4 linked regions of the Drosophila melanogaster genome follow. The protein of the gene in region 4 interacts with the protein of the main gene of each other region in a pairwise test. Each region holds a gene or a part of one and is shown on either strand. Other genes may lie near its edges. The genes, in order: E5, HLH4C, Neto and CG4896.

What was found.
Region 1: the proteins of CG4896 (region 4) and E5 interact in a two-hybrid assay, tested with the Drosophila melanogaster proteins (one large-scale study listed by BioGRID).
Region 2: the proteins of CG4896 (region 4) and HLH4C interact in a two-hybrid assay, tested with the Drosophila melanogaster proteins (one large-scale study listed by BioGRID).
Region 3: the proteins of CG4896 (region 4) and Neto interact in a two-hybrid assay, tested with the Drosophila melanogaster proteins (one large-scale study listed by BioGRID).

The regions. Positions count from the first base shown.
Region 1 is NT_033777.3:13,871,891-13,876,907, reverse strand, and holds the start of E5 (E5), read left to right. Parts: upstream 1-1,991; 5' UTR 1,992-2,311; intron 2,312-2,654; 5' UTR 2,655-2,728; coding exon 2,729-3,608; intron 3,609-5,017.
Region 2 is NC_004354.4:4,644,465-4,649,417, forward strand, and holds HLH4C (helix loop helix protein 4C), read right to left. Parts: upstream 2,951-4,953; 5' UTR 2,843-2,950; intron 1,979-2,842; 5' UTR 1,904-1,978; coding exon 1,400-1,903; coding exon of another isoform or gene 1,328-1,399; 3' UTR 663-1,327; downstream 1-662. Other genes in the region: CG3062 (uncharacterized protein), read right to left, coding at 294-320; mRpL30 (mitochondrial ribosomal protein L30), read left to right, coding at 3,503-3,630, 3,711-4,125; torsin, read right to left, coding at 4,221-4,953.
Region 3 is NC_004354.4:13,443,764-13,448,913, reverse strand, and holds the start of Neto (neuropilin and tolloid-like), read right to left. Parts: upstream 3,012-5,150; 5' UTR 2,637-3,011; intron 1-2,636.
Region 4 is NT_033779.5:1,175,867-1,183,185, reverse strand, and holds CG4896 (uncharacterized protein), read right to left. Parts: upstream 5,497-7,319; 5' UTR 5,325-5,496; exon of another isoform or gene 5,239-5,324; 5' UTR 5,237-5,238; coding exon 5,142-5,236; intron 5,079-5,141; coding exon 4,719-5,078; intron 4,346-4,718; coding exon 4,117-4,345; intron 4,060-4,116; coding exon 3,990-4,059; coding exon of another isoform or gene 3,955-3,989; exon of another isoform or gene 3,735-3,954; coding exon 3,661-3,734; exon of another isoform or gene 3,327-3,660; coding exon 3,249-3,326; intron 3,190-3,248; coding exon 3,063-3,189; exon of another isoform or gene 2,974-3,062; coding exon 2,737-2,973; intron 2,674-2,736; coding exon 2,260-2,673; intron 2,192-2,259; coding exon 1,393-2,191; intron 1,332-1,392; coding exon 1,082-1,331; intron 1,017-1,081; coding exon 900-1,016; 3' UTR 732-899; downstream 1-731. Other genes in the region: CG5126 (uncharacterized protein), read left to right, coding at 1-691; CG4887 (uncharacterized protein), read right to left, coding at 5,814-5,930, 5,995-6,244, 6,305-7,085, 7,143-7,319.

The sequences.
Region 1 (5,017 bases), on a different chromosome or scaffold from region 4:
AACATATAAATTGATTAATTTTAAAATCCATTTTCATTTAACAGATATGCTTATCGTATTTGTTCGAACTAAAACCTGAGTTACACAAGAATTAAACAAATGTATCTCAAATATATAATTTTACATCTACCGAGAAAAAGGCCCTAGAACTTGCATCGCGTTTCGCGAACTGATAATGCAGGCATTTGCTGCATTTTATCTTTTTGTGGGCCCTCCTTCTGGTCATATATCAAGTGCGGTAAATGCCAAAAAATACGCCCACAAAATCATTGATTGCCGATCGATAACCTTTTGCGGTGATGGAGCATCCCATAAAGTTCTCGTCCCAGCTCATTGTCTGACTAATTAAATGATTTATCCCGAATCGTGAGGCAGAGGAGCTGGAAAGGAGATGGGAAAGAGTAAAAACCAATTACAATTACCGCACCCAGAGGTGCCACACTCACAGATATAGATATATGTATACGTGTATACATGAGTGCATCTGCGGCAGCAAAGCTGCTGCCCCACCGACAAGCAACGGCCTTATCTAGATGCATACAAATCCAGCCAAGCGCACGTCAATTTATTTGCCAACTCTCGCCTCCTTTCTGGCCAACATCCATATCCATTCATGGCCAAAAGGAGGAGAATCGCATGTATTTACCTATGAGAAGGCTGCGAAGTTGGCGCTGCATGTTTTATGCCTCCTCCTGCATCTTTAACGAGGTGTTTATTTTCACAACTCACAGCCAGCGGATGAGGATGCGGATAGGGATGGGGATGGGAATGGGGATGGGGATGGGTATACAGATACTCGGATGACCACGCACAGATACAGATGCAGATACGTTCCCTTCCCAGCACGCTGTATCTGTATCTGTGAGATTCGCGCAGTTGCAGCTCGCCGAAGGTGTAGAAACCAAGTTACCGCCCATTTTCGTGTCCAAATGCTTTTGGCCAACATGATGCAGATGCCAATTCAGAATGGTAGAATGGCCAAGCGGCGGGGGGAGGGAAAGTGGTTTATAGCCAGCACTGACGACGGGGCGTCTAAGCTATATAAGCGATGACGTTGATTCCACTGCACAGTGGTATCGGCTCGATATCCTTTGAAAAATGCGTATTTTCTACTTTTGAGTTATGTACAAATTTGAACACTTTTTAATATCGATTTTCCAGTAGATAGTAAATAATTTAATACATGAAAACAATTTAAAAACGGTTACTGATGAAAGATAAACGTTTAAGCCTTAAATATTTCAATGAATAAATACAATTCAATTAAATAAAGTTTCAATTTTTTTTTATTGTTAGTATTTGCATAATTAAAAGAGGGCACAGTTCGCTTTTCAATTTTAAATGTTATATTTATTATATTTATTTTTAATCATCGAAGACCTACTTCCTATCCACTGTTCGGGTGCACCACCCCCGTTCCCCCTCCTACGCTCCAACAAACTGGCCAACCCGCTTGGCACTAAAACCACAAACGCTTTAATGATGCTGTTTTGTTTAGCGCAAATTGTTTGTTTCGCTGTCATAAACTGGTGCGAAAAATGGCCAAGAGAGCGACAGAGAGAGAGAGAAAAAGAGAGAGATTGGGGCCCCTCACACACCCACACACCAACAAGCCCAGAGAGCGGGAGAGCGAGCGAGAGAGGAGGTGGCTCCACTTGGAGCCAAGCAGGTTTTCGGAATATCCACTGAACTATTGTTGCGCTGCTTTGGCGCACGCGCACCGAGCCACGTGTGCGAGCGAGACGCCAGCAGTATTGCTGCGCTGGAAGTACAAGCAAAGGAAGAAGAAGCACACTCGAACTGGCCCCACAAACTTTTTGCGGCTTTTTCCAACGCGACACTCGAGCTAAAACGCTCAGCGTGAGAGCCACGCAGCGATTCGCCGACGCCCCCGCCAAAAATCAGGACAGAAAGAGAGAAAGCGAGAGAGAGACAGAGGTTGCGAGCGGCGAAGTGGAGCCAACAATTAGACGCCTTTAGACGCTCCATAATGCTAATGGCGTTGACAGTGCTCATCATCATCGCAGCGCGGCCACCGCAATCGTTTCGTTACCGGGTAGCCGGCATAACCGTTAACCGTTAACTGATACCGCCACCGCCACCGTCAATCGCCAATAGTCAATCGCCAACCATCAATCGCCGCCGTCAATCGTCCAGCGAAGCGGTACGGTCACGCTCCAATCGCCGCGTTGCCGCCGCTCCAGTTACAGTTACAGTTTATCAATGTCACGCCGACGGATGCCAACCGCTGGAGCATCGCAGATACAACGCTACGTAGCTATATAGCTATAGCTATCTGATCGGAAAAACAGTGCGTGTGTGCTTATCTGATATCTAGTAACCATTAACCGATGTACGCGATCATGTTTCCATAGCACCAACCCATTTATTGGGAGCTTCGATCAGTACAACCCTTTTTCCGTTTCCGTTTCTATTCAGTTCAATTCCATTTCAATTTCCATTCCCTTTGATTTTAGTAGGATTTTTACCGTTTTATTTTATTCCTAAAACTTTTAGTTGAGCATTATTCTTTTATTTACTGATTTATCCCGTTCGAAAATACAAAATTTTTTTTTTCAAAAAAGTCAAATATGGAATGGAAAAAATGGAATTTAAGGCCTACAAGTGTTCTTATAATCTACTTCGACTTGCAGAGACTTCGAATCGGGAAGTTTAAGAGGAGGGAAAGTGATTCATTTGTTTTTCCAATCAACGAAACCCCTACCAAATGGTCACCTGCGGCCGGCAAACGTTCAACATGCTGCCCATGGCGCCGACGAGTCCTTTTGTGAGCAGCAGCTCCTCGGTGGCCGCATCCTCGACTTCCGTTTCCGCCAGCAGTACCGTTTCCGCCTCCGCGAGCAGCAAGCCCAAGCTGGCCTTCAGCATCGACTCGATTGTGGGCGAATCCTCGACGAGATCGGCTCCACTAAGGGTCAGTGTGATATCTTCGCCGCCGCCGCGCAGCGAAAGTCCCGCTTCGCCAACGAACACGAACAACAGTGGGCGCCGGACGCCCAGGGGCTATATCTACTGCCGCAGAAGGGATTCGCTGGATCGATCGCGCAGTCCTCAGAGATCACCGGTTAGCCGGTCGCCATCGCCCCCCAATGCAGGAGGCAATCCGGCAGCGGCCGGGAATACTGCAAAGTCCGGGGATCCATCGTCGGGAACGGGAAATCCTCCAACCCTCATCCGTCCGTTGCCTCTGCCGGCGCCAAATCTAGCTTTAATTGGGAACCGCACCTCACCGAACGCCATGGCGGTGCGCATGGCGGGTCCGCCCCACCCGCCGTCGCAGCCACCGCCGTTCCTTGCCGCCCAGTTCCAAATGGCTGCTGCACTGGCTCATCATCACCAGCAGCAACAGCAGCAGCAACAACAGCAACTTCCGCCCGTGCCAACTGGACCGCCACATGGTCCACATCCGCATCTGCCGCCCGGCCAAATTCCACTTGGAATCTTTCCCGGCGGACCGCATCCCGGGCATCCTCCGCCCCACGGACACCATCCGTTCGGGAGTGCGCCGCATCTGATCCGGGATAGCTATCCGTTGTATCCATGGTTGCTCAGCCGACACGGACGCATTTTTCCACGATTCCCAGGCAGTAAGTAATCACACTGTTTTAAATATATCTATTGTTTATTACAATATTTTCAATAAGTTCAGAGTTCAGAGAAGCTAACCGGTTTAGCAAGCGGTACTTTCATATGTATATAAAACCGCTAAAAATTATTTCTATAAATTGAAAAATATAATTTTTATGCATAATCATCTAAGCTAACAATTATTTGTAATAAATTTACTGCAAAATTAATAACAGTTTATATAACAATAATACATATCATTTAATTTAATATTTACCCTATTCTGATAATAAGAGTACATCTCTCTTTTACGGATTATTAGAAAGATAGTTGTTACATATATATTTTTCATATTTGAACATTAGAATATTATGATAGTTTACGGTCGGTTTCTTCTTCTGGAGATAGCAACCACCCCTTTTGTTGGTTATTTTTCGCTATAACGAGTTTTCCGCATTCATTATAGCCGTTTCAAATGGCCGCTGAGTGTTGCGAGCGACAGAGAAAAAGAAACCACACCTTAAGTCATATTCGAAGCCCAGCACCATTATAGTAGAGAGGACCCCAATCAAGCAATTATTCAGTTATCGCTGTTGTTGCCGCGCAGCTCCATATAATTAAAGTTAAATAAGCAAATGGCAAACATTTATTACAAGTTAATTAGACGTGTATCGGGCTCATCATCATCAGAGGGAGCGGGACGGAGAATGGGAGCGAACAGGAAGGGGGGAATGTGGAGGGAACCGAACCCATTTTGATAACTATTTCCAAACAAATTACATTTTAATTAAATTGTTTAAACAACATTACACACATCGTTAGGTCAAGCAGCGTACCTAAATGGCCAGCCAAGTGTGTGAGTGTGTGTTTAGCATTTATTTGCTCTATTTATACTTTTTCTCTTCACTCGAAATTACCATTAATGGCCAACAGACGGCGCCAGTTACTCATGCGGCGGGCCCATGCGGCGTATGTGTAACGTACGAAAAGTGCAACCATTGAAATGTTAATGCGTTTTTAATTGAGGTTTTGGGGCAACCAAGCAAAGAACCGAGAGGAATGGTAAAAAAAAAAAACTGGCAGATAGAAGCGAAGAGCCACCGCAAAGCGCATCTCAAAAACATTGTCATTTATTACGGTTTAACCACTTTTTTCTACCATTCCGCTGCTCTCATGATTACCATTTGAATTTCCAGGCCATGTTGGTATCCATGTTTTTTTTCGGCCGGTTAAATATAATAATAATTTTCGGCACACTCACACGCCTTTCACCTGCTTAAGTGTACATGTATCCCCGTTACGCCTTAATTATGTTGTACTCCGTTTCATTATTTTCTCCCTTTCTACTTGTTTTCCCATTTCCCGCCGCTCCTTCTCTTTTTTCTCACTTTTCTCCGCGCCGCCTGTAATTTTCGCTTGATTTATGAAC
Region 2 (4,953 bases), on a different chromosome or scaffold from region 4:
AACGCCAGTACACCCACACCCATGAAAATAGCACCCATACAGGGACAAACAGCCGATTGTCGGAATGCAGGAGTCGTTTTTCACTGGATAGAAAAGGATGGCGCCGAATCGAGTTGGTTGCCATTGCCACGTTTGTTGTTATTATTATTGCGAAAATGTTTACATCCATGGATCCACACAAATATATATATATGTATATATATATATACCCGTTACCCGTACCAACCAAATTAGGCCACTATTTATGGATATTGAAAACAGCCTCCCAATCGACTAGAATAAATTTGTCTTACCTGCTGTGCACTAAAATGAAGGGCCATTTCGAAATTTTGCACAAAAGTCGAAATTTCCGTGACGCTTTCACAGTTTCTAAAACAAAAAAATAAAAATGTATCCTCAATTTTTGAAAATTATGACAGAGGCTGCTCTACTTCGCTTTTACACAAATGGGCGGGGCTTGGCGCAAAGGACACGCCCGCTTTTGATACGTGGATACGTGGTTCTTGAAGGTTGGTGAAAAAGGGGGAACTGTTAGCATCTGGCTTTTCCGAGCAAAGCGTTCAGACAAATGGAAAACTCAGTCAGAGCAGCTGGTGTCCAAAAGTCGAGGGGAGTGTCGTGCAAAGGCGCGCCAAAATACATAAAGTAGACAATTTTTTATTGCGATTACAATGCTGTATATATTAATCGTTTGAGTATAAACAAATATCACGACTTAAAGGCTAGACAAAAAATGGATCTTAGTTTAAGGTTCTGTTTTTTTTTTCTTGGTTATTTATATTATATAAACCATGATCAAGGTTTACTCCGAGGATTAAGCACTGCTTTCCCATAAATTTAATTGTATGTACTACTGGCATATTTAGTTTTGTTATTTCCTTCGATATTTCTACTTTTCAATTAAATTACACAAACTAATAGCTTATATCTTCTACATTTAGTACGGGCATATTTTAACCTTAGGTTAAATCGTGGCTTTACAATTGTTTCTACGAAAACAAACCTAAGCCTAAAAAAAAAAACGAATCGAAACGAAACGACGGGCATTTGTCTTTCAACAGTGGCAAGGAAAAAAAAAAACAAAAAACAAAAAAATGTATGTATTTAACCATAGGTTAAATAGGTTAGCAAATCGGCAAAATCCATCGAACACTTCGGTTAAGTTGGTGAGATGGCTAATTCGATAATCGCATTATCCATAGCCGCCACCGGCAAAGTATCCAATGGAGCGATGTGCGGATTACAGAGCATGGTGAAATGCGTTTATCGGATGTGGAATATTCGCAATGTTTTCCCCCTAAATCCGCCCGCCACGCCCCCCCACCTCCTACGGGGGGGCGAAAAAATTGGCCTCGTTAAAGAGGCAGCTGGTGGCGAAACTGGAGGCGCCGGCGCTATCTCAGGGCGTCTCCAGCACATGATTCAAATAGGCAATGTAGCAGATGGCCAGCTTGAGGATCTCGATCTTGGAAAGCTTCTTGTCCGGCGGCAATGTGGGCAACAGCTTGCGCAGCTCGGCAAAGGAAACATTGAATGCCTCCACCCGTATACGCTCCCGCGTCGCATGTGCCGTTCGGTATTTGAGTGTCGCTCGCCTGCGACGACGCCGCTCCTCCCGCGATAGACCCACCAATTCCGATGGATCCAAATGGGCAATGGGCGTGGTCCGGCGACGTGGCGCCGGCGTGGGCGGCGGTGGCGGTGCCGGTTGTGCGGCCGTTTCGCACGCCATTCGCGCCTGAAAACGCTTATCGATATCCAGCGTCGTACTGGCCGCATAGTCCTCGTTGACCAGATGCGGATTATTTGGCCCAATCATCTCATCATCGTCGACCAGATAGTAGCGACTAAGCGAAATGCTTTGCGGCGGACCCGCCGCCATATGGCTCATATCGTAGACCATTCTCTGGCTATTTGCACCACTGATTTCGGTGCTGGACACTGGACTTTCTTGCGCTGCCCAGCCTGCTGCTGAATGCTGGAAATGGAAATGGAAGCAAGAGGATGCACAGCTTAGACTATGAATACAACGAAATGTGTACTTGATTGCTTCACAGATCTGCATTTCAAACTCAAGGAAGACGAAAAGTGTGGCTACCTTTGCGGTGGAGCGCTCATGCTATTGAAAAAAAAAAGGTTACAATAGGCGTTGAAGAAATCATAATCCTTGCACTCGAATTATTTATGCTTCATTTGTGGACATTTGTGATGAAGGGTGTCCGTGTGTGTGTGTGTCGTCCTTGCCGATGAAGGACACACCCCTTTTTCGCTGCATTCTGTTTGCGTTTGCTATTATTTTCATTTATTTTTATTGTACTTATTGTGCTTATTGTCGGCATTGTGCGTGTATTGTTTATTCGCAGCATATTTTCACACCTACACAAATAGCTGAACAATCGGCACGTTTATTTGCCCGCGGGAGTTGGCAAACCTCAGCGATGCCAACCCCTTAGGCTTGGCCACCCTTTTTTGTATTGTTGCGGTTAACGTATGATTTTATATCTATTGATTTAATGGGTTTTGGGTCCAAAAAGTGTCACTGGAATTGCATCAAGTCGAAGACGTGTCTATTGATCCCATGGGATGATGGAAATCCGATCTAGTTTTAAGAACTTGTCGTGTAACTCAAGTCCCCTCAAGACTATGAAACTCCAGTACACTTACACATGTCGAGTGCGTGCACATGGTCAAGTTAGCTAATTAACAAATTTCTAGATATAATTTTAAACGAACTAGAGACTTCATTCAGCTATTTGTATCTTTAATTTGATTATTCTACTCGCTAGTACATTCACTTCATTTGCATTGCTCACAATTTTTGGGCTTTGTTGCCTGAACTTACAGCAGTTATCACAGGTGCAGAGTTATTCTAGATCCTTGAGTTGTCTGGCAGATATCCTTGCTTGCCACTAGAGTCGGTTGCTCGCCGGATGGATGCTCACGTGGAACTGACTTCCGGTCGGGAAGCTGCAGCCTCCTTTATAACCAAAATCGGAAACAACCCCATTGCGTTGAAAGCCAGCCAATGCCAAGTTATCCACCCTCGTCGATTAGCGCCAATTGTAGCTGACAAAATGGCGGAGATTTTGATATGAGACCGCCCCTTTCCAGAAATGGACATCATCCCCTGGAGGCTGTGTAATCCGATGACCTAAAAACTTTCTTTTCTCAACTAATTCTTGAAATATTAAAAAAAAAAACAACGAATATATATTACCATCTTATTGATAATGTTTTCGCTATCTTCAGTTTGTAAATGATAAATTATCTTCAGTTTGTACATGATAAATTATCACTTTTAACTTTGCCGCCTTTGCATTTGAATTGTATCGCTTAACAGCAAGCGGTTAACATTGGTTTACATAACGGCAGTATCCATGCTGCCCATCGATAGGCAACTAGTTAACCAGATGTCTGTGTAATCGTTATCGTCGGGGAAACATCAATTATTTCATAAGCGTTTTGCATTTAATTTTATTACAAAGGGGGGAAAACAATTAAGATGAACCTGGGAAGGCTGCTGAATCCACTGAGGAGCACCGCATGTTCGGTGCGCAGCTACGGAAAGCACAACAAGAAGTTCCTCTACAAAAATGGCCAGAAATTTGAGGGTATCACCTACTATCCCAGGTTCGTATTCACGTGTGCAGTGTATAAAAGGAAAACACACGAAATCCAGCATTTGTTAATGCTAAATCTATCCCGCTCAGGACTCCCGATCACCAGGATCCACCCGTGGAGCCGGCGAAACTTTTCCGGGTGCAGCGCATCAAGCCGCTAAAGGGCAATCCCTACTGGGAGAATCGAATCCTCAAAGATCTGGGACTAGACGGAAAGCAGAGCGATTTTACTGTCGTCAAGAACATACCGGAGAACAATGCCCGCCTGTGGAAGATCAAGCATCTAATTAAGGTTACGCCGGTCACGTTCCCCTACGGAGAGCCCACTGCCCAGGATGTCCGGCATACGATACTCAAGGAGAACGGCGAGTGCCTGGTAACCAAGGACCTGGGACCCATCGATACCCGCCTGGCGGCTCGCCAGGATTACGACGAGCAGCCCAAGCGACTGGATACCGATCTGCTGCGCAAAGATGCCCGCCTCAAGTGGCTAAATCCCTGGTAGTTAAAATTTGTTTTCTTTATTCCGAAAAAATAGTTTTTTAAATACAAACCGAAACCCAAACTAAGCATTAAAATGTGGAGTCGGTCGGTCCTTTCTCAGTAAATGGCCATGGCCACCTTCTTCTCCAGCGTCTTGCAGCCCGAAATGGCGAACAAGCTGTGCGTGCGATCGTAACTAATGGAGGAGTTTATTATGTCCTCAATGATTTTTTGGTTGTTCGCTTGCTTAGGATCGCGCCGCCACCTTAAAAGCTCCGCCTCCAGGCACTTGATCACATGCGCCTTCTCCATCGGCAGGAACGGAATGAAATGATCGATAACATGAGACTCAATCATGGTGGTCTTTTTCATACCGCCATCCATGTTATAGGCGGCCTTCCGCAAAAGGGGCTCAAAGTCACTCAGTCGTGTGTCCTCGCGCAGCCTACCATTCTTCATCACACTACCCAGATGACTGGCTATATGACTGCCCGCCGTGTTCGAGAGAAAGATGAAGATTGCCTTTGTGTTATCCGTGCCATCGACAAAGGCGTTGTAGTCCACCAGCGAGGTGAGCTGGTCGAATACTCCGCTGGGCATTTTATCCACCTCGTCGAAGATGAACAAAGATCTCGGGCAGCTACGCAAGGTATCGCGCACCGCATTATTGATTTTCACCCTATAGTTAGACACCTCACTTTCCTTGGGAAAGTCAGCTTGTCCGAGATACTTGGTTACATAGTTCGACCTGGAGCCCTTCAAATACATAGCATCTGCAATTTGCTCAGCCACAAAATTCTTGCCCGTACCGGGCTGGCCGTGAAAGCTGATGACCAGCGGTTTCCGTGAC
Region 3 (5,150 bases), on a different chromosome or scaffold from region 4:
CCCATTTCCAGGCTTTTCTGCTCTTTTTCCGTTCTGATTAGTTGTATGCCATTGCGTTTTCCAACCACCCAAGTCCAGCTGCAATTAGTTTCACATTCCACGGGAAATTGCTGCGAAAATCGCCGCACAATGCAAAAAGGCTTTAAGATCAGACTTTTTTGCGGCCAAAAATAATACGGGGAAAGAAATGAAAACACTGTGGACAGACACAAATAATAAATAAGAAGAAATCCCAGCAAATGAGAGAGGACCTGTTGCTCGGGACACAAAGGAAATGGGTGGTCAAAGGAGGCGGAAAGCAGTTAAGCTAACCGAAATCGCCAAAGGAAGTTTGGGCTTAACTGTAAAAACTTTTGGCTTAATTTTATTGAAATAAATGGTTACAAAAATTGAACAAAATTTAATCTCAGCACAGCTGCAGAGAGATAAAACTAAATGGAGTCCAATGTGGAAAAACTAGAAGGGAAATTACAACATGGCTAAGAAAATTAAAAGGATCACAAAAACGAAATGGTTGAATTAAAATCAATGGAGAAAATCTGAACAACAATATAATCACACTCAGAAAATACGGAGTACAAATAAATATTGCTATTAAACATTGATTTGTAATTGTTGAATGCTGGATACATTCTTCTTGAACAAAATAAGAATACACAGAAGAAGAAAATAATATGATTTAAGCTTTCTTTTGGAGTAAGAACTCATCCTTTACTTTAGTCCTTAAAAGGCAGGAATAATCCTTTTCCCTATTTGACCAGCTGGTCAACATGCCATTAATTACCATCGAAGTTTCCCTTCAAAAATAAAAAAAACCCTCGTGAATAAAAGTTTACCACAAAAATTTTGTTTGCCTCGCCCAAATTTATGAGGGCAACATGCTGAAAAAATTTAAGAAAACCGAAATGGGAGCAGCAAAAATGAATGGAAAATGAGAAGAAAAACTAAGAAATCGACGAGGGCGCTGAAAGTGCGTGTATAAGATAGCCTTGAGCCACATATGTGGGAATGGGATATAGAAGAGCGACAGACGAGATGAACATAATGCAAAACTTTGTCAGCCACCGATAGAGAGAGATGGCTGCACAGCATGCGAAAGAGATGGGACGATTGGAAGTCTAGTGAATTCATTGAGACGGCAACAAAACAGAGAAAACACTGGGAAATTAAGTTAATGGACAATTAACAACCAACACAATACCCCGTAAACAATTAATTTATTCAATCTACTAATGCAATAAATAAAGATTGCATTCAGTTTTGCAAGCCCAAATGATTATTATTGTTTTGCGGAGTATATTTTTATTTAACCTAATAGCATAGTTCATCAATCCCTAATCCATACACTGCGTATTCGCGAGGGTATTTAAAGAAAAGCCGATGGAAAACCTTCGTCAAAGTTGGCGCTAACGGAATTGTTGTAGTTGTAGCTTGGAAAATCTTCTTCAATAACAGCAGCAACAACACAAAATACCCATTACGCATATGTAATAATTTTTATTTTCATTTTTTTCCGAATTTTCTTCTGTTTTTTCTTTCTCTTCGTGTGATCACAGCTGTGCCGTGGACAAGGAAAAGCGGGAAAACGAAAGGGAAAATTGGTGAGAGAAGTGGGAAAGCCTGATGGCAGCCGTTTAATTTTTGCTCTTGTTTTTGTTGCTGTCTTTTATTAATGAATTTCTCTCATTTTTCACCAATTCTCTATAGCCTCTGCGTTCGTGTCTTTGGTTTTTATACAATTTTCCCCTCTTCGCTTACTCGTTCTGCTCTTGTTTTTTTACTATTTGGGCTATGTCTAAAAATATGTCCGCCAATTCGCTAAGTGGCCCCAAACTTATCTATACGGGATACATAGAAAATACGGTCGAAGTTTCCAAACGAATGCGACAAAATAGTTTAAATTAAACATTCATTCGAAATCTTTCAACATATATTGTAGCTTATATGAGATAAATAATAAAAACAACAAAAAATCGAACACTTTTCAAAATGTTTAGAAATGTTTAATCGCAAGTATATTCGATCTAAAACTGCTGAACAAATTAACAATTAATAATATGTATAAATATATCCCAAGACGCATTAAAATAAAATCAAAGACTTAAAGCGCACTAATAAAAAAGAAAAACTCATTTAAGTGGGCACTTACTAGGAAATTACTAGAGATTATTTTAATATTGCTTTAGAATCCGCATAATGGACGCCTTCTGTGCAAAAGGAATTTTTATGACACATCCACTTTTTGCCTTTTCATTTCCATTTTGTTGGCTAAAACCGAACAACTTTTACAACTACAGGCTAAAAGAGACTAATGTGCCCTCTGGATCATTGAAGCTTGATTTATGCAAATTTCATTCAGCTACCACAGCCATAATGCCTTGATTTGATTAATATATTCGCAAACATATTTATTGCCTATTATGCGGAATGCAGCAGTATACGTATTTATTTTATAATTGTTATCCTTTGCAACTTAATATTGTCACTAGCCCACTAATTAATTGGTAAATATCGGCAAATAGATTTGTTATTTTAAGAAAACACGGAAATATAATTTGTTTACATTGCAAAGCTGCCATCTAATATATATATGTATATGTGCATATGTTTAATTTATATATATATGTATATATTACTATTTGCGTGTTGTCGCCTCCTTTGGCTGCGTTGCGAAATGTTGTTTTTATTTGTTTTTGTTGCCGCTGCGCTCCGCGAAAATATCTCAATTTTTGGCGCGCATTTTTCAAGCCGGCAAGCTTTTCACACACACACACTTTCACACTGGCACTGTCACTGTCACACAAACAACCAAACAAAAAAATTTGTATTTCTTTTGAACAAAAGCAAAACCTTAAGATTTTAAAATCGTATCTCTGGTGCTTGTCTATTAGCAACCAATCGCGATGTTTTTTTTTTTTTGGTAGTGAAACGTTAATATCGAATGTGCTGTCACCGGAGAAAGCGAACCGCGCCGCGTGTCCGTACACGTGGCCAACTCGACGTAGACTGGGCGTATACGTAATGCCGGAATTTGTGGCTCTGCTGCATCGAGTCTGCCGCTCGACTGTTGCCGCTGCCACGGCGGATGCTGCCACTGCTGTTGTCGACCCGCCAGTGCTGCTTACTTAGCCGGCTTTCCCGACAACTCTGGCTAGTTTTTCCAGCCGCTCACTGTCTTATTCTTTTCTATCAACCAAAAAGAATTGTATTCGTATTTATTACTTTATTATGTTACTACCTAAAATTGATTGAGTTGTTTGCCCAATATCTATAGAAGTTTTTTTTTTAATACTAACAATCATTAACATAATAAAACAAACTAATTGGATTCCACTTGTTAAAAAAAAAAATACGTATTAATAAAAATATCTAATTTTAGAAGAATATCACACCATAAAATAAAATACTTGCGAGAATCTAGCAATTTTTGTCCATTTCCCACGCTTAAAAATTAATTTCCCGAAAAGAAATTTAAAAATTATAAGCTGATATGTATTATCTTATTTTTCTAGCCTCTCAAATTGACAGTACTATTTATGACGGATCTTAGCTTTTAATTATTTCTTTTAAACAAAAATTGTTTCCTATTAGATTTACGGATGTGAATATGAAAACTGACAGTGATCTATAATATCTTGCTTTTCTATAGAGATTAAGAAATAAAAACTTAATAAAAATAAATTATGGGAAACGTCTGCTCGATATCCAGATGCATTTCTTAACATCAACATATTTTCGCCGCCCACTTTCAAGCTCATTTTAGTATATACATTTTGATATGGTAAAGAGCCAAAAAATAGTGCGATTTATTTTAAAACTTAAACTCATTTTATCACAACATTTCACCAAAACGTTAAACAATGATGCAAGTATACGGGTTTCATGCGAACCTTAAGAAATTGGAAAATAATTATTTTCAGCTTTTTTTCCCCCCCAAAATATTTGGCATCTCTGAGGATGCTCCACAAACGCTCAATGTCGAGTGAGTGGGAATACGAGGCGATGGCCGAAAGCAGCCGAAGTGCGTTCGTTTGTGGCACAAAATTTCACTCGAAACGGAATTTCCCATTGTTCGAGTGCGAGTGAGATGGGAGTGAGCGGGAATTTTGAGTGAGTTGTAGGTTTTTTACTCATTTCCGCTGGCACTTCCGACGTCGTCCTGGGCCAAGGAAGTTGTAGCCACGCTGACAAGGACAACAAAGTCTGTCTTCATTTTTTGTTCGGCTTCTTCGCAAAATATTTTATTTTATTTGCTTTGGTTATATTTTGCTTTCTTTGTGTTTTTGTTGTTATTCTCTTCTTTTTTTTCGTTTTTTTTTTTTTGGTGAAATGTCAAATGACATGCCTGGATCACAGACTGTGGAAACTGTTGTGAATGTGGTTTTCTTAAAGCCTCAAGCGATTTGATATTTCCTTTGCGATTCGTTTGCATACATTGTACGAAATGTGTGCGAAATAAAAAAAAAAAACGACTTCTGTGGTCTCTTAAAAACTACATTCCCTTCATTACAACATATTTTTAATAACTTGAGATCCCGCAGATTACGTGAAGTTTCTCCAGACACTCTTAATTGCCTTTATATTAGCTTTCGAAGCGTTGCTATGACAGAACGCGTTAAACACCTCAAATAAAAGTAGAAGCCTATCATCTAATACTCTCTCAAATTAACCAATTTTAAAATCTATGTCATTGCTCGAGCTGCTTAAATTAAATTGATTATTAAGCTGATGGAAACCTTAAAGTATAACCAACAATCTGATGTTTATTATTGCAAAAACATATAAAATTTCCAATTGTAGGTTGTAGTTACGCTTACTTGATAACCTGATTAAGTTTTAAACGAAAGGCAAACCAAAAGAGAAGTTGTCATTATTTTCATTACCTCTCCCAAGCTTAGCACGTTTGCAAAATAATATAAAATAAACTGATGTTTCGAATGCAAACTATAACAAGCCGTCAGCTGTGACTTAAAATCGATGTAATCACATTAATACCCAATTAACCTTAACCAAAGAGTATCCTTTGAGTCTGCCAGCTTGAAATTCCAGCGTAAAAAAGTGTTGCCTGCGAAGCAAAGGGACAAAAAGCAGCGCCATGGCTGCGTTTTTGCAGCAGGATCTGGGACTAAGGGCAACGGAGAATGGAGAAT
Region 4 (7,319 bases):
GCAAAAGGAGCAGCTCCTCCAGGGGGCAGACCCCGGATTCGGGGCCGCCATCGAGCGACTGCGGGAGAAGTACTTCAAGCAGCCAACTCTCCTGCTGGAGAGAATCCGCACCAGCTCCTTTGCCGAAGATCAACCGGACAGCCACTTTGCCACCTTTCTGCACGGCGACTACAACAGGAACAACGTGCTGTTCCACTACGGCGCTGAAGATAAGGTGGACGCTATCAAAGCCATCGATTTCCAGGAGCTGCGCTTCAGCACTACGGCCATTGACCTGAGCTTCTTTATGTACATGAACACGCCATCCGAAGGAAGGAAGGAGATCTACGCCGACTTGTTGCGCAAGTACCATCGAAGCATGATCGAAATGTTGGAACTGGTTCTGCGCCGAAACCGGAACGAGTTGACCGACGATCGGGTGGACCAGTTGCTACAGGAATACAGCTTCGAACGCTTCAATGCCCACTTCAAACGATATGCCTTCTACGGACCAATGGTATGCATGCACTTCCTTCCCTGGCTGCTCGGCACCGAGAAGGATTGCGCCGAGTTGTCCCGCCTCTTCGAGACGGATATGCACGGCCCCGCCTTCCACCAGTTGTCCTTGGACATCGCTGGCGATGAGGCGAACCAGGAGATCTTCAAGACCGTTCGTCACGCCTATGAGCATGGCTACATGGACGAGATTTAGATTCCCTTGCACAATTCCATACTTAAAGCATTTACAATTTAAATTTAAACCTAATTTGAGACTGTATTTACGAACTATTTACAATTTGAACTTCGCAACTAATGCTAAATGAACGCGACAAGGTGGAGGAAGTGTAATCGAGGTAAACAACAATGCTTAAATGCCCCTATATTCAAGCGGAATAAAATCATACACTTTAAGAAGAGTCTCAGGCGTTCTCATAACGCTGCTTCATCATCTTTTTGATGTAGGATTTGTAGTCGTTCCCAGGCGCCATATGGCCAGTGTTGTTGCCCAGCCCCACGTTGTTAGAACGACCATCAGCCTGTGGATACACATTGACATTGAATTATCCATATTTTGCCATTCGTCGCCCTCGTCGACTCCTACCTCTATGATCTCGGTGCGTCCCTGGTTCTTTTTGCCCAGTCCCTGGCCCTCCGACCAGCCCATCTTCTGCATCAGGCGGCTGCCCACGTTGGTCGAACTGATGGGCATGGCTGCAGTGGCGCCAAAAGAATCCTTCTGGCGCGACTGCAAAGTCTTTATCTCTTGCTCGAAACGCTCCCGGCTCCTATTTGGTGGAGGAGGATCGCTCTCACCGTACTTCAGCCTGCGTTCCTTGGCACGATCACGATAGCTAAGTACGGGTAAGTAAATTAGTGAGTTTATCTCCATTCTAGCAGCATATTCCCACTTACGATAGACCCTCATCCGTGCCAGCCTCAACTGCGGGATTCCGTTTAAGCTTGTCCAGATTCTCCTTGTGTAGATTCGACATTTTCAAATGCTTCTGCAAGATGTCCAGCGATTGGAAGGCACGCATGCAGAGCAGGCAAGTAAGTTTTTGGAAGTCCACGTAGTCAGATTCATCGCTAATGGCTCGTTTAGTCCCAACGCTAGCTTCAAGTGCTTTCTGATTGGCACTATTATCATCTTCCGAGTCAGAAGGTCCTCCATAAGCACCAACCAATTTGCTTATCGCTGGAGGTCCTGCCTCCGGTACATAGTCGTTGAGCTTGCCAAGCTCCTTCTTCTCAAGGATTGAGAATCCCACATCAGCATATGCCCCTTGGGAAGCACGGGAGGTGGTGGCCGCCTCAGTATCCGACAGGATAGGCTGCGGCGTTGCCACTGCTGTGTAGTCCTTTTTTTGGTTTAGCTGCTTGGCCCACTTCTCCATGTCCTTGACGATCTTCTTGGCCACCTTCACCTTGTCGGGCTTCCCCCCAGCTTCCTCCTTTTCTTTTTCCTTCTCCTTTGCCTTTTTGGCCTCCTCCTCCTTTTTCTCGGCATCGGCTAATACTTCCTTGAGGGCTGCCTGAGTGGAAGCGGGTGTGGCCAGCACATAGGTGCTCCGCTTCTGATCCCAGTACAAATACGCGCCCGTCTCGTTGTTGTAGTAGTACTGCGAGTGGGCATCATAGTAGAGTCCTGTAACGTGGTCGTAGTAGTAGCCGGAGGTCTCGTCGTACTGGTACTTGGACACATCGGGAGTATCTAACCATTGAGCATGAAATATTCGACATTACAGGAGCGCATAGATAGAATAGTGTGCGCTCACTTACCGTATTTCTTGCCATCATTCCCCTTGGGAGCACTTTCACCCCTGGCAAGGAAGGCGACCTTCGCCTCTGTCACCGAAACCGTGGTCTCCATCTGGCTGACCTTCCGTTGCTTGCGCTGGATGGCCGAGAGAGCAACGGCAGCGCCGGAGTTGGCCTCCGTCACTTGACGATCTCTGCAGTTCTTGCTTATTTCAGTCGTGTAATAATCCGTATAGTACTGGACGTAGTTAGCATGCTCCAACGGATTCGAGGCATACACGGATGCACTGTACTCCGCAAGACGAGGCACATCCGCCAAAGTGTAGGCCGCCGTAATGGCCGACGGAGACATCGCTGTTTCACCTGCTCTAAAAAAGTTGCCTTCGGCTGGCATCATTTGACGGTTTTCGGAGTCAATGCAGTAGGTGACGATAACTGAAGGGCATGGATTAAAGTTTTGTTTTTTAATTATGAAATAATTAAGAAGTAATAATTTACCTGTTTTGTCGTCCAGAGTGAGTGGCGGATCCAACGCCGTCAGCCCGTTGAACACGTTCATAGAATCAATGAGTGTGTCAAAATTGAGGTAGCAAATGCCCCGAGATGCATTGGTTAGGGCGTCGCGACTGACCAGCACCTTGCTGACTGTTTTGGCCAGTTCGGGCAGGCGCTGCTGAAGGGCAGTTAGCACGCCCTCCTCGTTTGTCAGCGCGTCCAAGCCGCGAAGCATGATCTCTGCATGGGGAAAGCGTGGCAGGTTAGTGGGGTATTTAGCTGATTAGCTAGGAAACGGCATTGAAAGATATTGCTCATGGTGGATATACTTTTTGTGAGGATTTGGCTGATCTCGTCGACGCCCTCGCCGGCTCCGTAAAGAGCATTCTCGCTCTCCGCCCGCGACGCATTGCACATGTAGCATTGGAAGCGGCGCTTAAAGTTGCTGGCACCACACTGAAGGATGGCGAAAAAAGCTAATTATTGTTGCCAATCTGTATCTTAACGGAGCATACCTTAATGCAAGTCCAGTCTGAGATGCGAGTGTGACTATACTGCATGGTGACACGATGATCGCCCAGTTGGAGGACTCCCTGAACGGAAAAATAGAAGAGGTAAAATTGGAATTAGTAACTGAAACTGCTGATCAGGCAAATCGTTCACAGACTACACAGTCACCAAGATTGCATCTGTGTTTTTCGACATCACGCAGATGCTGGTTGCTTCCTTTACGTAAGATTCGATTCCGCCTTTGAGTTCAGTTCCCTGATCTAAGACAGAAAAATGGAAGGGACAGGCAGCCCACCAGCAGAATTGAACTCAAGGCACACATTTTTCAACAGTTGATGCCAAGCTATCGGATCTTGCCGTCATTTCTATTTTGGCGGATACGAGAAGATTCAAGATTCTTGTGGTTTTTAGGGATACCTGGGTTAACTCCATCCAACGAGTCGCCTCCTCAACGGTTTTAAACTCGACAAATGCAAAACAGCGTGAGGCACCTAAATTTTAGATAGAAGTAGATACGAAAATGTTTGGTCAAAAAATGTTGGTTGTATCATTAGCATTGTGTCATTTTTGGGGATTGTGTTTTTGTTTCGGTTTGTAGTTTTCTATATGTTTTTGCTGATGTCGAAGCCAAGTATAATTGAAATTGCTATAAGTCCTACATCGAACATGTTGCTGGGCACGCAATACTCACGCTTTCTCTACAATTTCACTTTAAATCGAATGTAACACACGGAAATGTAACCCACCTGTTTGTTGCTTCCTCATCACGCGAATGGATGTGGGCTCCAGGTCGACCTTGATCAGCTCGCCCATGATCTGTGGAGGATTACTTGGTTAATTTTACATTCGTTCTGCTTATCGCTTAAACATTACGTCTGCTTCCGTGACGTGCTTCTTCAGACCGAAGAGGATTATGTTGTTCAAGGGCTCAACGCTGCTGCCACTGTTGTAGGCACCTCTCTGCCTGAATTCGCTGGCCATGTCGCTGTCCTCGTCCGAGGAACACCGTCTATCTCGATCGCGCTCCTTCTCGCGATCTCTGTAACTGCTGCTGGAGTTACTATTTCCATTATTATTGAACTGCCGCTGGTCATTGCTGCGGCTGAAAGGAAAGCGATTCTTTAAGGTCATACAATGAGCACTTTGTCGAATAAATTTTCGTTCGGTTCGTTTGAAACCATCGTTTGCATACTATCCACTGTAATTAAAGGCATCCAGCATGAATATTTCATAAGATGATTTGTATGCATTTATGCGAACAAAGGGAAGTGTACATTACTGAATGGGTTGATTTCTAATTATTTTGACTTTTATTACAAGTGATTAGCAAATGAAAGGTCTTTTAAACTAGTGAAAGAGGAGTCCTCCTTCTTATGGAAGCCTTGTGAATGGAAACATAGAACTTAGCTTAATCTTAATCTCAGTGATAACACTGAGCACGATATGGGTAATATGCAATATGTATCATTTCTTACCTGCTGCGCTCCGATCCCCGATCGAAGTCATCATGGTTGCGCTCTCTCGAAACGCGATCGTAGTTTTTCCAGCGGTGATCGCGGTCCTTATCCATATCCTGGCCACTCTTGTCGTAGTTGCTATCGTGATCCCTGCGACCCTGGCTATCAGCATGCCGACGATCGTATTTGTCCTCGCCGTGGCGCTGGTCAAGGTTCTGTCTCGAGTTGTAGTTTCCCTGATCCTCGTAATCCTCGTTGATCAGGTCGCGGTACAGATCGCGATCCGGACTGCGGTCGTTTCTATAGTGTGAGGACCGCTCCCGACTGCGCGAACGGGAGTTGCGACGTCTGTACTCATTGCGGTCCCGACTTCGTTCCCTGAAATAATCGCAATTGGTAGTAATCCACTAAGAGGCTCCAGGTGGACAAAGGACTACCTACCTGGATCGGGATCGGGAGCGACTGTAGCGTCTGTAGCCCGATTCGCTGCCGTTTCCGTTGCCGCCCGAGAAGCTGTGACCATATCGAGAATCCATATCTAATGCGAATCGATTGTAATTAAATGCAGTGTTTGTGATTTGGCCTTTTGCCATTAGATGAACCGTCTATGTGCGCACATCTTACTTGGTTACCACGACTGTAACAGGATTGGAAGCTGGTTAAACTTGTTCCCGAACTGGAAGTCTCTTTGCATTCAGGCAGAAACAATCAGTTATCCGGCCAAAAAAAAAAACCCGAATAGAAAAATTCTCGGTCTTCTTTTTTGCCGTTCACCCGAAGTATCTGACTGCCAGTTATCGATAACTGACCGATAGCTCCAGGGCTACCAAGTGCCAGCTAACAGTTGTTTCCCAACACCAAGCAAATTTAAACTTTACACCGTTACATTTTATTTTGTACATTCGAAAAAGGATTTAAATTCGCTTAATCAGAAACTATTAACTAAACGGTCACACTTGCTCGTGGACTTAAAAAAACGCCAATCTGTTAGGAAAACAATGCTCAAGAAGCTTCATATATAATATGGAAATAATTTTTGCTTCGGTTGAAAAGCTGAATTAAACGGCGACTTTAGTTGAAATGAAACATGTGAAACGGCTAAAAACCAATTTCTCAAGCATTCTCGTAGCGCTGCTTCATCATCTTCTTTATATAGGATTTGTAGTCGTTGCCCGGTATCATCTGTCCCGATTTGTTGCCCAAGCCCACGTAATTGGAGCGTCCGTCCGCCTGAGGGAACCCAAAATGCTTAATTTTCTTAATTCATTTTATAGCTTGCCGTCAGCTCAGTTACCTCTATGATCTGGGTGCGTCCCTGGTTCTTCCTGCCCAGTCCCTGTCCCTCCGACCAACCCATCTTTTGGAGCAGTCGACTGCCCACGTTGCTCGAACTGATGGGCATGGCTGGAGTAGCGCTAGTAGACTGCTTTTGCCGCGACTGCAGTGTCTTGATCTCCTGCTCGAATCGCTCCCTGCTCCTATTTGGTGGGGGAGGATCGCTCTCGCCGTACTTCAGCCTGCGCTCCTTGGCACGATCACGATAGCTGGGAAAGAATATGAATTCAATGATAATATACTCCACCACACATCGCGATTTCACTTACGCTAGTGCCTCTTCGATGCTACTGCTAGTGTTTTGATTGAGCTTGGCCAGGTTCTCCTTGTGCAGAGTGGACATCTTCAAGTGCTTCTGGAGTATTTCCAACGATTGGAAGGCACGCTTGCAGAGCAGGCATGTCAGTTTATGGAAGTCCACGTAATCGGACTCTTCAGCACCTCCTCCGCCGCTTACAACCGCTGAACTCTGTGTGTTTTGCGAACTCGCAGCATTGTCCTCTTCAGAGTCCGATGTTCCGCCATAGGCATTGACAAGCTTGTTCATTGGACCCACAGTCGGGTTTGGCGCATAGTCGTTTAACTTGCCCCTCTCCTTCTTCTCGAGAATGGAGAATCCCACATCAGCATATCCCCCTTGATTGCCACGCGAAGTGGTGGCTACCTCGTTCGCCAATATTGGTTGTGGCGTGGCCACAGCTGTGTAGTCCTTTTTCTGGTTTAGCTGCTTGGCCCACTTCTCCATGTCCTTGACGATCTTCTTCGCCACCTTAACCTTGTCGTGCTTGTTTCCACCCTCCTTCTCCTTCGCCTTTTTGGACTCCTCCTCCCCCTTTTGCTCGGCGTCGGCCAGGACTTCCTGCAGAGCTGCCTGAGTGGAGGCGGGCGTGGCCAGCACATAGGTGCTCCTGCGCTGATCCCAGTAAAGATACGCGCCCGTCTCGTTGTTATAGTAGTACTGCGAGTGGGCATTGTAGTAGAGACCCGTGGTACTGTCGTAATAGTAGCCGGATGTCTCATCATACTGGTACTGCGTCACATCGGGAGTGGCTGCAACATAATGAAACATAATAAAATGCTAGCATACTCAAGTGAGTGGCGACATACGGTATATCTTTCCATCGTTGCCCTTGGGCGCACTGGCCACCTGAGCAGCCAATGTGGCCTTCACTTGCGCCGCTGCCTGTGCGGCAGCTGTGGCCGCCGCTGTGATCGTGGTCTCGATACTGCTCATCTTCTTCTGCTTGCGCTGGATGGCCGAGAGGGCAACCGCTGCTCCGGAAT